Callithrix jacchus: one gene and its partner. The protein of the gene in region 2 interacts with the protein of the main gene of each other region in a biochemical or structural test. Links are inferred from orthologs where the notes say so. Each region holds a gene or a part of one and is shown on either strand. Other genes may lie near its edges.

Region 1 (4,278 bases), on a different chromosome or scaffold from region 2:
ATGGTGGCCAAACTCCGCTTTGAGACTTGAGACAAAGTAACTCATAAAGAAAATTCTTTTCAAAATATTCTATAATTTGGGCTGGATGCAGTGATTATAATCACAAAACTTTGGGAGGCAGGGGTGGGAGGACTGCTTGAGTCCAGAGGTTCGAGACAAGCTTGGGTAACATGGCAAGACTCCATTTCTACAAAAAACTAAAAAATTAGCCTGATATGGTGGTACATTGACCGTCTTCTCAGCTACTCAGGAGGCTGAGGTGGGAGGACTGATTGAGATTGTAGGGAGCTGTGTTTGCACCACTGCACTCCACCCAGCCTGAGTGACACAGTGAGACCCTGTCTCATTTAAAAGAAAAATTTTTTCTATAGTTTAAGAATTTTTTTTTAAAAAAACTATAATATAAAAGTATGGAACCTATAAGAAACCTTTGCTAAGTAAACTCATTTCCTAAATCCACATAGCCTCTAGGTGGAGTACACAGTCATGGCCCCTTTTTGAAAGATTCCTTTGCAGCTTTGGCATGACTCAGCTTAAAATATTTTTTAAAATACTAAATACTCAGTAATGGTGCCTTGGAAGTGAAATATACCATTGGAAATAAGCATATTCTTGACACCAGTACTGTAAAACCCTGATGTGATTCAGCTGGGTTCTGAATGGATCCCACTTAAAAATGGAACATGTTTTGGCTTCTATGAATGGCTGGTTTCATCTATAACGACATCCTGAGTCATCTATCTTCTTTGTTCAGAGCTGACTCCTAAAATGGAAGGCATCACTTGAGAAATACCTGTAATTTGAAGAACTTCTGGTGGTATATTTGAAGAACACTGTGGTATAATTTGGAATGGACTGACCAATGATTTTTCTTTTGTCTGTTTTTATATGCAATTGGCAATAAAAAAGAAAAATTTACTGACTGTTGGGTGTGAAAAATGGTGCTGGTAGCTGCAATGCTTATATTAATAGTAGTATCGTAAGAGAATAATCAGATGACTTCAGAGTAATACGAAAAATACCCCTTAATGTTATCAATGGCCTATTTGAAATTATTTTAATAAATGAATTATCTTTTAAAATTTGCCCTATATGTGTATTTATGCTCTGCATAGGTCTTAAAAAACAGAGGCACACATGTTAAAGTAATAATTGTGATTACCTAAAGGAGTGAGATAGGGGAAGGTATTTAACACAGAGAACTGTTAACTTTATATATGCCTGTACAACTTTCTATAAGTTTATTACAATGAACATATATTGTTTTTATAAAGTTAACAACTCACATAAGATATATACATTTTAGAGATTAAAAACTAGTTTTTAAAATGAAAATAGTTTTACATGCTATGATTAGCCAAATCTTCAATGCATTTTAAAAATATACTTCTAATTCAAAGATGTCCCTCATCGATGAAGTTAAACTTTTTCCCCTTCAAAACTGGCAAATTAAGCACTGAATTACTTTAGTAAAATAAAAGCAAGGATAATTGTCGTTTTAGCTTTCTAAATATTACTACACATATTTTAAAATACGTATTTTTAAGACCTTGAAACATGTAGAAAAAAATATAAAGAATTCTTGGACTAAGTATTTTACCTTAATTTTCTAGCCTACGTTTGTGTTTCATGTTCAGGGTGTGTTGTGTATCTGGATGTGGAGTTATTTTAGATTTCAACACGTCCTTGAAGAAAGTCTTAAAGACTATTTAGAAGGCAAAGATTAAGTCCTGAAATTATTTAAGTATCCAATTTCTGCTCTTAGGTTAAATGTAACTTCCTAGCTCAGCTCTTATTTCTCTTCCTGAGATTAGCTTTTCGTCATTAGGGGAAAGGAGTCCACGTTGGTTGGGGAGCCTGCGCGCCAGCATCCCGGCGCATCCCGGGCGCCGGCCGAGGAGGACCGGCCGAACAGGACCCGCGGCCCCCGGGGAACGCCGGCGCCCAGCCCGCGGCGCGGAGGGGCCGAGCCTGTGCCCGCCTCCCCTGCTGGTTGGTCGAGGGAGCCAGAAATCAGCGCGAGGACAGCCTCGCTCTCCTCTCTGAAGCGGCCGGGCATGGCCAGCCCGGAGAGTGAGGCGACTCCACTGTGAGCTCTAGAGAGTTGACTACCTGCCTTTCGCCAGGGGCTGGAGGGCAGGCGGGCGGCGGGGCAAGAGAAGGCGCCGTGCGCCGGGGTCGCTGGCCCAATTCTCGACTCGGGGTAAGATGGCTCCGCTCCGAACTCGCCGGCGCTACTACACGCACAGCCTCTCCCTTCCCAGCCTCCGTGCCCAAGCCCGGAGGGTCGTGGAGGCTGGTCGTGGAGCCAGCCCCGCGCGACCCCCGGCGGCGCCGCGGGCGCGAGTGCCGGTCTCCGAGCTGCCCGCTCGCAGACAAAGCTGACAACATGGCTACCTCCGCTCCTCGGCTCAAACAAGTTCCTCGCAAGTTGAGCCCGGCAGACGCCTGGGCTGCGGCGGAACGCCGCGCGCGCCTCGGCTGCCGTCGTCCATCAACTTCAAGTTTCCCTCCGCAGAGGAGCCCGCGGCCGCCCGGCGCCGAGCACGGCCGCCCAGCGCGAGGCCGGGCCCGGGAAACTTTCAACGTCTGCAGCCCGCAACTGACAGCCCGGGTGCGCGGGCGCCGCACTCACCTTCAGACAGGTCCTCGATGCACTCGAAGGTGATCTCGAACTGGAACGGGTTGTAGAAAGGAGAAGGATTATCCAGCACCACTACATTGTTCACCTGAACCTTTGCCATATTTTGAAAAAAACACAAACAATGGGAACTGGGGCTGGTTGCGGCACAATAAAGTCCAGCGCGCGGCCGCCCGGGAGAGCGCAGACCCCCGCCCCAGCGCCGGCCCGACGTCGTGCAGCGGCGACTTGAGAAACTTTTTTTTCCCTCTTTTTATTTACACGGGAACACTCCACAGTGTTTTGCAGCTTTCCTATTTCACTAAACTACAGCCCATTCTGCTCTGATAAGTAGCAGCGTTGCCCTCGATTGGCTGCACCCGAGCTCTGACCCTCCTCCTCCAGCGAGTGCCTCGGCAGCCAGCAAGATGGGCTCCCGCTCCCGGAATGGACTCGGAAACTTTAACTGCGGCTCCACCTGCTGGTGTGGATTAGGACAAAGGCGGAGAACAAAGTGAGTGGAATAAGGGCTGGGAGGCCCGCGCGGAGGCCGCCGCCGGCGTCGCGGAGAGAGGCGAGGGGCGTGGCCGCGGCGGGGAGGCGTGGCCGTGGCGGGAGGGCGCGATCCGGGCGACGCCCGCCCCTCTAGTTGGTTTCGTGTGAGGTGTTTTGGCGTTTTTTGTTTTTTGGTTTTTTGTTTTAACGCTTTTTTTTCTTTTTTTTTTTTTTTTACATCGGTGCAAAGGCTCTGACGGCCTTGCTGAATTTAGCAGATGAGAGTCCGTGTTTACACTGGGTTAGGTTCAGCTTTCTGTGTATCGGGTAGTATTTGGAGTAGAGAGAATGATTAGCTGCAGTGGAAATAAATTGCATGTTAAAGACCGATGTCGGCTCGAAAGGAGCAAAGCCATTTTGGAAATCTAGCTCTTGGCCAGTATCTACGTTTGGGCACGACAGCGCCGTTAAGCAGACACAAAATGAAGGGCGAGGAATGATTTTCCACACACTGTGCTTGGAAAATCTAAATAGGTAACCTTTGGGCTTGCACCTGGGCGTCGTCTTCCGAGTCCAGATCTGGAAAGTCCTAGAATAAGAAAAGAATCACAAGCGATGTGATTAGTTATACCCCAGGTTACAGCCATTTGGAGAGAACAGAAAATGGAAGTGTCAGGAGACCAACAGGGCAACAAACATAACAGATGGGAAAAGAACACAAAGGCATAGCAAGACATTTGATCTTCAAAAAAAAATTCTTGACCTAAACCGTTAGTAAATAAAAATTTGTAGCACAGCAAGCAAATTCTCAGGAGCCCTTGCTTGCCTGTAACCAGTTCGGGTTTGAACTGAGGAAACGTTGATTCGTTTATGCGGCTTGACTACCATTGCAGGGAAAGAGGAAGCTTTAACATGTCTGTGAGCCTAAACCGTTTCTATTTAGTAAGTGATGTAAAGGGTTGTTTTATTACCTGCTATCCATAAACCATCACTTTTTTCCTTAAATGTTGTGAATGAAACCACCAAACTTGGCCAAATTCAGAGAGAAAAATTCTTAAGTATCTGTTTTGGAAGAATTTTCTCTTAGTATAGTGCCCAGAATTTTGATTTGTCATTCTTTGGGCATTGTTCGTACTTAAGTAGGTGCCTTTTAATGAAACGTT
Region 2 (3,811 bases):
AACGGCGTCTTTCAGGAGACTCCTGGAGTCACCAAGAGGAACAGGTGATCAGGGCTTCCCCAGGGAAGGGAAGGACAAAGGCCTCAAAGGGTAGAGTATGTGTGCTCTGGGAAGATGGCATTCAGGGCTGGCTAGAGATGAAGGCCATGGACTGAAGAAAGAGAATGGCCACGGTCCTGGACAGGCTGCAACCAAATCACAGTCCGTGTGTGTGCCTAGGAGCCTGGGCTTTACGTGCCAGGCAGGAAATGGAGGAACAGACAGAGGCCTGTAGCAAGAAATGACACTCTTGGATTTGAAGTTAAGAATCTCTCTGGCGGCGGGCGAGGTGGCTCACACCTGTAATCTCAATACTTTAGGATGCCAAAGCAAGTGGATAACCGGAGACTGGGAGTTCAAGACCAGCCTGACCAACATGGAAAAACTCCATCTCTACTAAAAATACAAAACTAGCCAGGCATGGTGGCACATGCCTGTAATCCCAGCTACTACGGAGGCTGAAGCAGGAAAATCGCTTGAACCTGGGAGGTAGAGGTTGCAGTGAGCTGAGATGGCACCATTGCACTCCAACCTGGGCAACAAGAGAGAAACTCCATCTCAAAAAAAAAAACGAAGAATCTCTCTGGCAACCTACTGGTATGAAGTATTCGCTGCCTGAAATTCCACCTCCAGCAGGTTGGGAGGGTTCTGTTTGCATTTCAGGTTTCGTTTTGCAATGACAATTTCTGGTTCCAAGAAGTTCTTACCGGGGCGTTGTCTTGCTCCAGGCTTGCAGTGTGTTCAGAGTGACCCTCCGGGATGGGTGGGCTTTTGTGTTTTGACTACTGGGCTGCAAGCTCTTCTCCTCCAAAGGCCCGGGCAAGGAGCTTTTGACAGCAGGAGTGACGGAGGGAGGGTCCCTGACAGCTGCTGGGGCTGGGGCCTGTCTGGCCTGTGGGGGGGTCGTGCTGGGGCTGCTGGAGTCTTGGGTTCTGCTGGTAGGCATTCCCTCTACCAGACTGGGTCCTGGCGAAGACCCTCGGGGTGTCTGACTCTTGGTTTTCTTTGCTGTATCAGGAGTTCTCATGCTCAAAACTGGCTTCTCTTTCAAAGGAATTCCAAGTTCATCTTTCTCAAATGTCACAAACGAGCAATAACCGTCCGTGGAAGAAATGGCCAGGAAGGCACCATCACTGGACCTTTGTCCCCAAAACGGAAAAGTTAGAGACCTTACCAACATGCTCACATCTAGTTAGAAGAAGGAAGTTCAAGCCATATCACAAGTTTTTGTTGAAGGCAAAAACTAAGGAAAAGATACGACTAGAAAACCGTGTGACAGCACCTCACGCGAGCAGTTCCATTGTGATTTCCTGAGTCGCTGCAACTGATCTGTGCTACTAGCAATTTTCACTTTAGTAGGTGGGGCACAGTGGCTCACACCCACAATCCCAGCACTTTGGGAGGCCAAGGCAGGCAGATCATTGAGGTCAGGAGTTCAAGACCAACCTGGCCAACATGGTGAAACCCTGTCTGTACTACAAATCCAAAAAAATTAGCTGGGCTTGGTGACACACACCTGTCCCAGCTACTCGGGAGGCTGAGGCAGCAGGAGAATTGCTTGAAACCAGCAGGCAGAAGTTGTAGTGAACTGAGATTGTGCCACTGCACTCCAGGCTAGGTGACAGAGCAAGACTCCATCTCAAAAAAACAAAACAAAAACTCACCCTGGGCCAAGCAGGCTGTGGGGGCTGACTGAAAGGTGGCAGAAGGGCAGTGCTGAGTGACATCCTCTGGACAGGCCCAGCTTGTGGTACTTCCCTATCCTGGGCAGCAGGGGCGTGCAGGGAAGGGCTTCCTCCTAGAGGGCCTGAGGAGTTCCCAAATGGTCAGGGAGTCCACAGTGCCTCCCTTCAGTTTATCAGAGTCCAGTTAACCCCACAGGGACATCTGAATGCCATCAAAACCCACCAGTGTGAAAATAAGAAGCAAGTATTGTGGCAAACTAGAAATGGCTTTCCTTTTAATATTGATTCTTTCAAAAACAAAATTGGACCAGGCGTGGTGGCTCACACTTGTAATCCCAGCACTTTGGAGGCCAGGGTGGGACGATCGCTTGAGCCCAGGAGTTTGAGACCAGCCTGGACAATGTGGTGAAACCTCATCTCTACTAAAACCAGAAGAATGAGCCAGGCATAGTGGTGCGCACCTGTAATCCCAGCTACTTGAGAGGCTGAGGCATGAAAATTGCTTGAACCTGAGGGTGGAGGTTGCAGTGAAATGAGATCATACCACTGCACTCTAGCCTGGGCAATAGAGTGAGATTCAGTCTCAAAAAAACAAATAAGAAACAAAATAGGTCCAGGAGCAGTGGCTCACGCCTATAATCCCAGCACTTTGGGAGGCCGAGGTGGGAAGATCACAAGGTCAAGAGATTGAGACCAACCTGGCCAATATGATGAAACCCCATCTCTACTAAAAATACAAAAAAATTAGCTGGGTGTGGTGGCGCACGCCTGTAGTCCCAGCTACTCGGGAGGCTGGGGCAGGAGAATTGCTTGAACCCAGGAGGCAGAGATTGCAGTGAGCCTAGGTCATGCCACTGCACTCCAGCCTGGCGCCTGGTGACAGAGTGAGACTCTGTCTCAAGAAAAAAAAAAAAAAGAAACAAACAAAATAGGTGAATAGGGCCCCCAAAGCCATCTTTAGTAATAAAATACTCCCTGACCCCAGGGTCTATTCCAGGGTACCGGCCACAGTCTCCTTTACTCACTCTCCCTCCTTAGCAGCCACTCACCATGAAATGTCACTGAGGGTGTGGTAATGTATGTTAGACACGTAACCAAAAGGGAAGGACTGCTGGGTGTCGTACAGAAGCACGGAGTCCTCTGAAGCCACAGCAAACACTAGGCGGTAGGGCAGACTCATCAGCTCCGCACCTGGGGGTCGGGGACAGAGACAAAGTGAAACTGCAGAAACAAGGCTTCTGGCTGTGCGCAGTGGCCACACCCAGAATCCCAGCAATGTGGGAGGCAGAGCCGGATGGATCGCTTGAGCTCAGGAGTTTGAGACCAGCCTAAGCAAATGGCAAAACCCTGTCTCTACCAAAAATTCAAAAATTAGCCAGGCTTGGGAGTACATGCCTGTAGTCCCAGCTACTCTGGAGGCTGAGGTGATAGAATCGCTGGAGCCCGGGAACTTAAGGCTGAGGCCAGCCATGATCGCACCACTGCACTGCACTGCACTTTGCTGGGTGACAGAGTGAGACTCTGCCTCAATGAGTAAATAAACAGCAAAGCTCTTAAAGGAAACAACTAATTCCCCAGCAAAGCCCTCTCTCCAGGGGGACCTAAATGACACAGTTTTATGAAAAGCTAGTTTACCACATGCTTTACAAAAAAATTCAGGTCTCGGTATTATTTATACCTGACCACATGAATAGAGAGAACATGCATGAACCAGTGAGGACAGTGTATCAGGAACCAAGAGTCATGGGAACAGAAGGGCCAAAAAAGCAGGGAAAACAAAAGATGTGTGACAGGGGCAAGATAATCTCAGAGGCTGCTTTCTTTAAGGAAATGTAAGAGTTACTTAGCAACATTGTATCCAGTGATTTTCATTCAATCACATAAAGGATCAAAATTTAAAAACAGCTTCTGCTTCCAGCCCTGGAGAAAATGGGATCAGATTTACCCTCCTACCTAAAAAAATCCTAAAATACCAGGCAGTCTTTTAAAACACCGGCAGTGAAGGATAGTGATCCTTGAGAGAATGGAAGCAAACGAGTTAAGTCCTTCCATTTCTTCAACTTACTGCCTGGAGAGTTTCCAGGCCT

The links.
Region 1: the proteins of CHAF1B (region 2) and ASF1A form a complex in vitro, tested with the Homo sapiens proteins (2 studies listed by BioGRID and IntAct). The link is inferred for Callithrix jacchus from reciprocal best matches to the Homo sapiens genes CHAF1B and ASF1A.

The regions. Positions count from the first base shown.
Region 1 is NC_133505.1:125,225,054-125,229,331, reverse strand, and holds the start of ASF1A (histone chaperone ASF1A), read right to left. Parts: upstream 2,993-4,278; 5' UTR 2,745-2,992; coding exon 2,636-2,744; intron 1,083-2,635; exon of another isoform or gene 787-1,082; coding exon of another isoform or gene 755-786; intron 1-754. UniProt on the Homo sapiens protein: Histone chaperone that facilitates histone deposition and histone exchange and removal during nucleosome assembly and disassembly.
Region 2 is NC_133522.1:42,449,208-42,453,018, reverse strand, and holds part of CHAF1B (chromatin assembly factor 1 subunit B), read right to left. Parts: intron 2,916-3,811; coding exon 2,774-2,915; intron 1,179-2,773; coding exon 747-1,178; intron 1-746. UniProt on the Homo sapiens protein: Acts as a component of the histone chaperone complex chromatin assembly factor 1 (CAF-1), which assembles histone octamers onto DNA during replication and repair.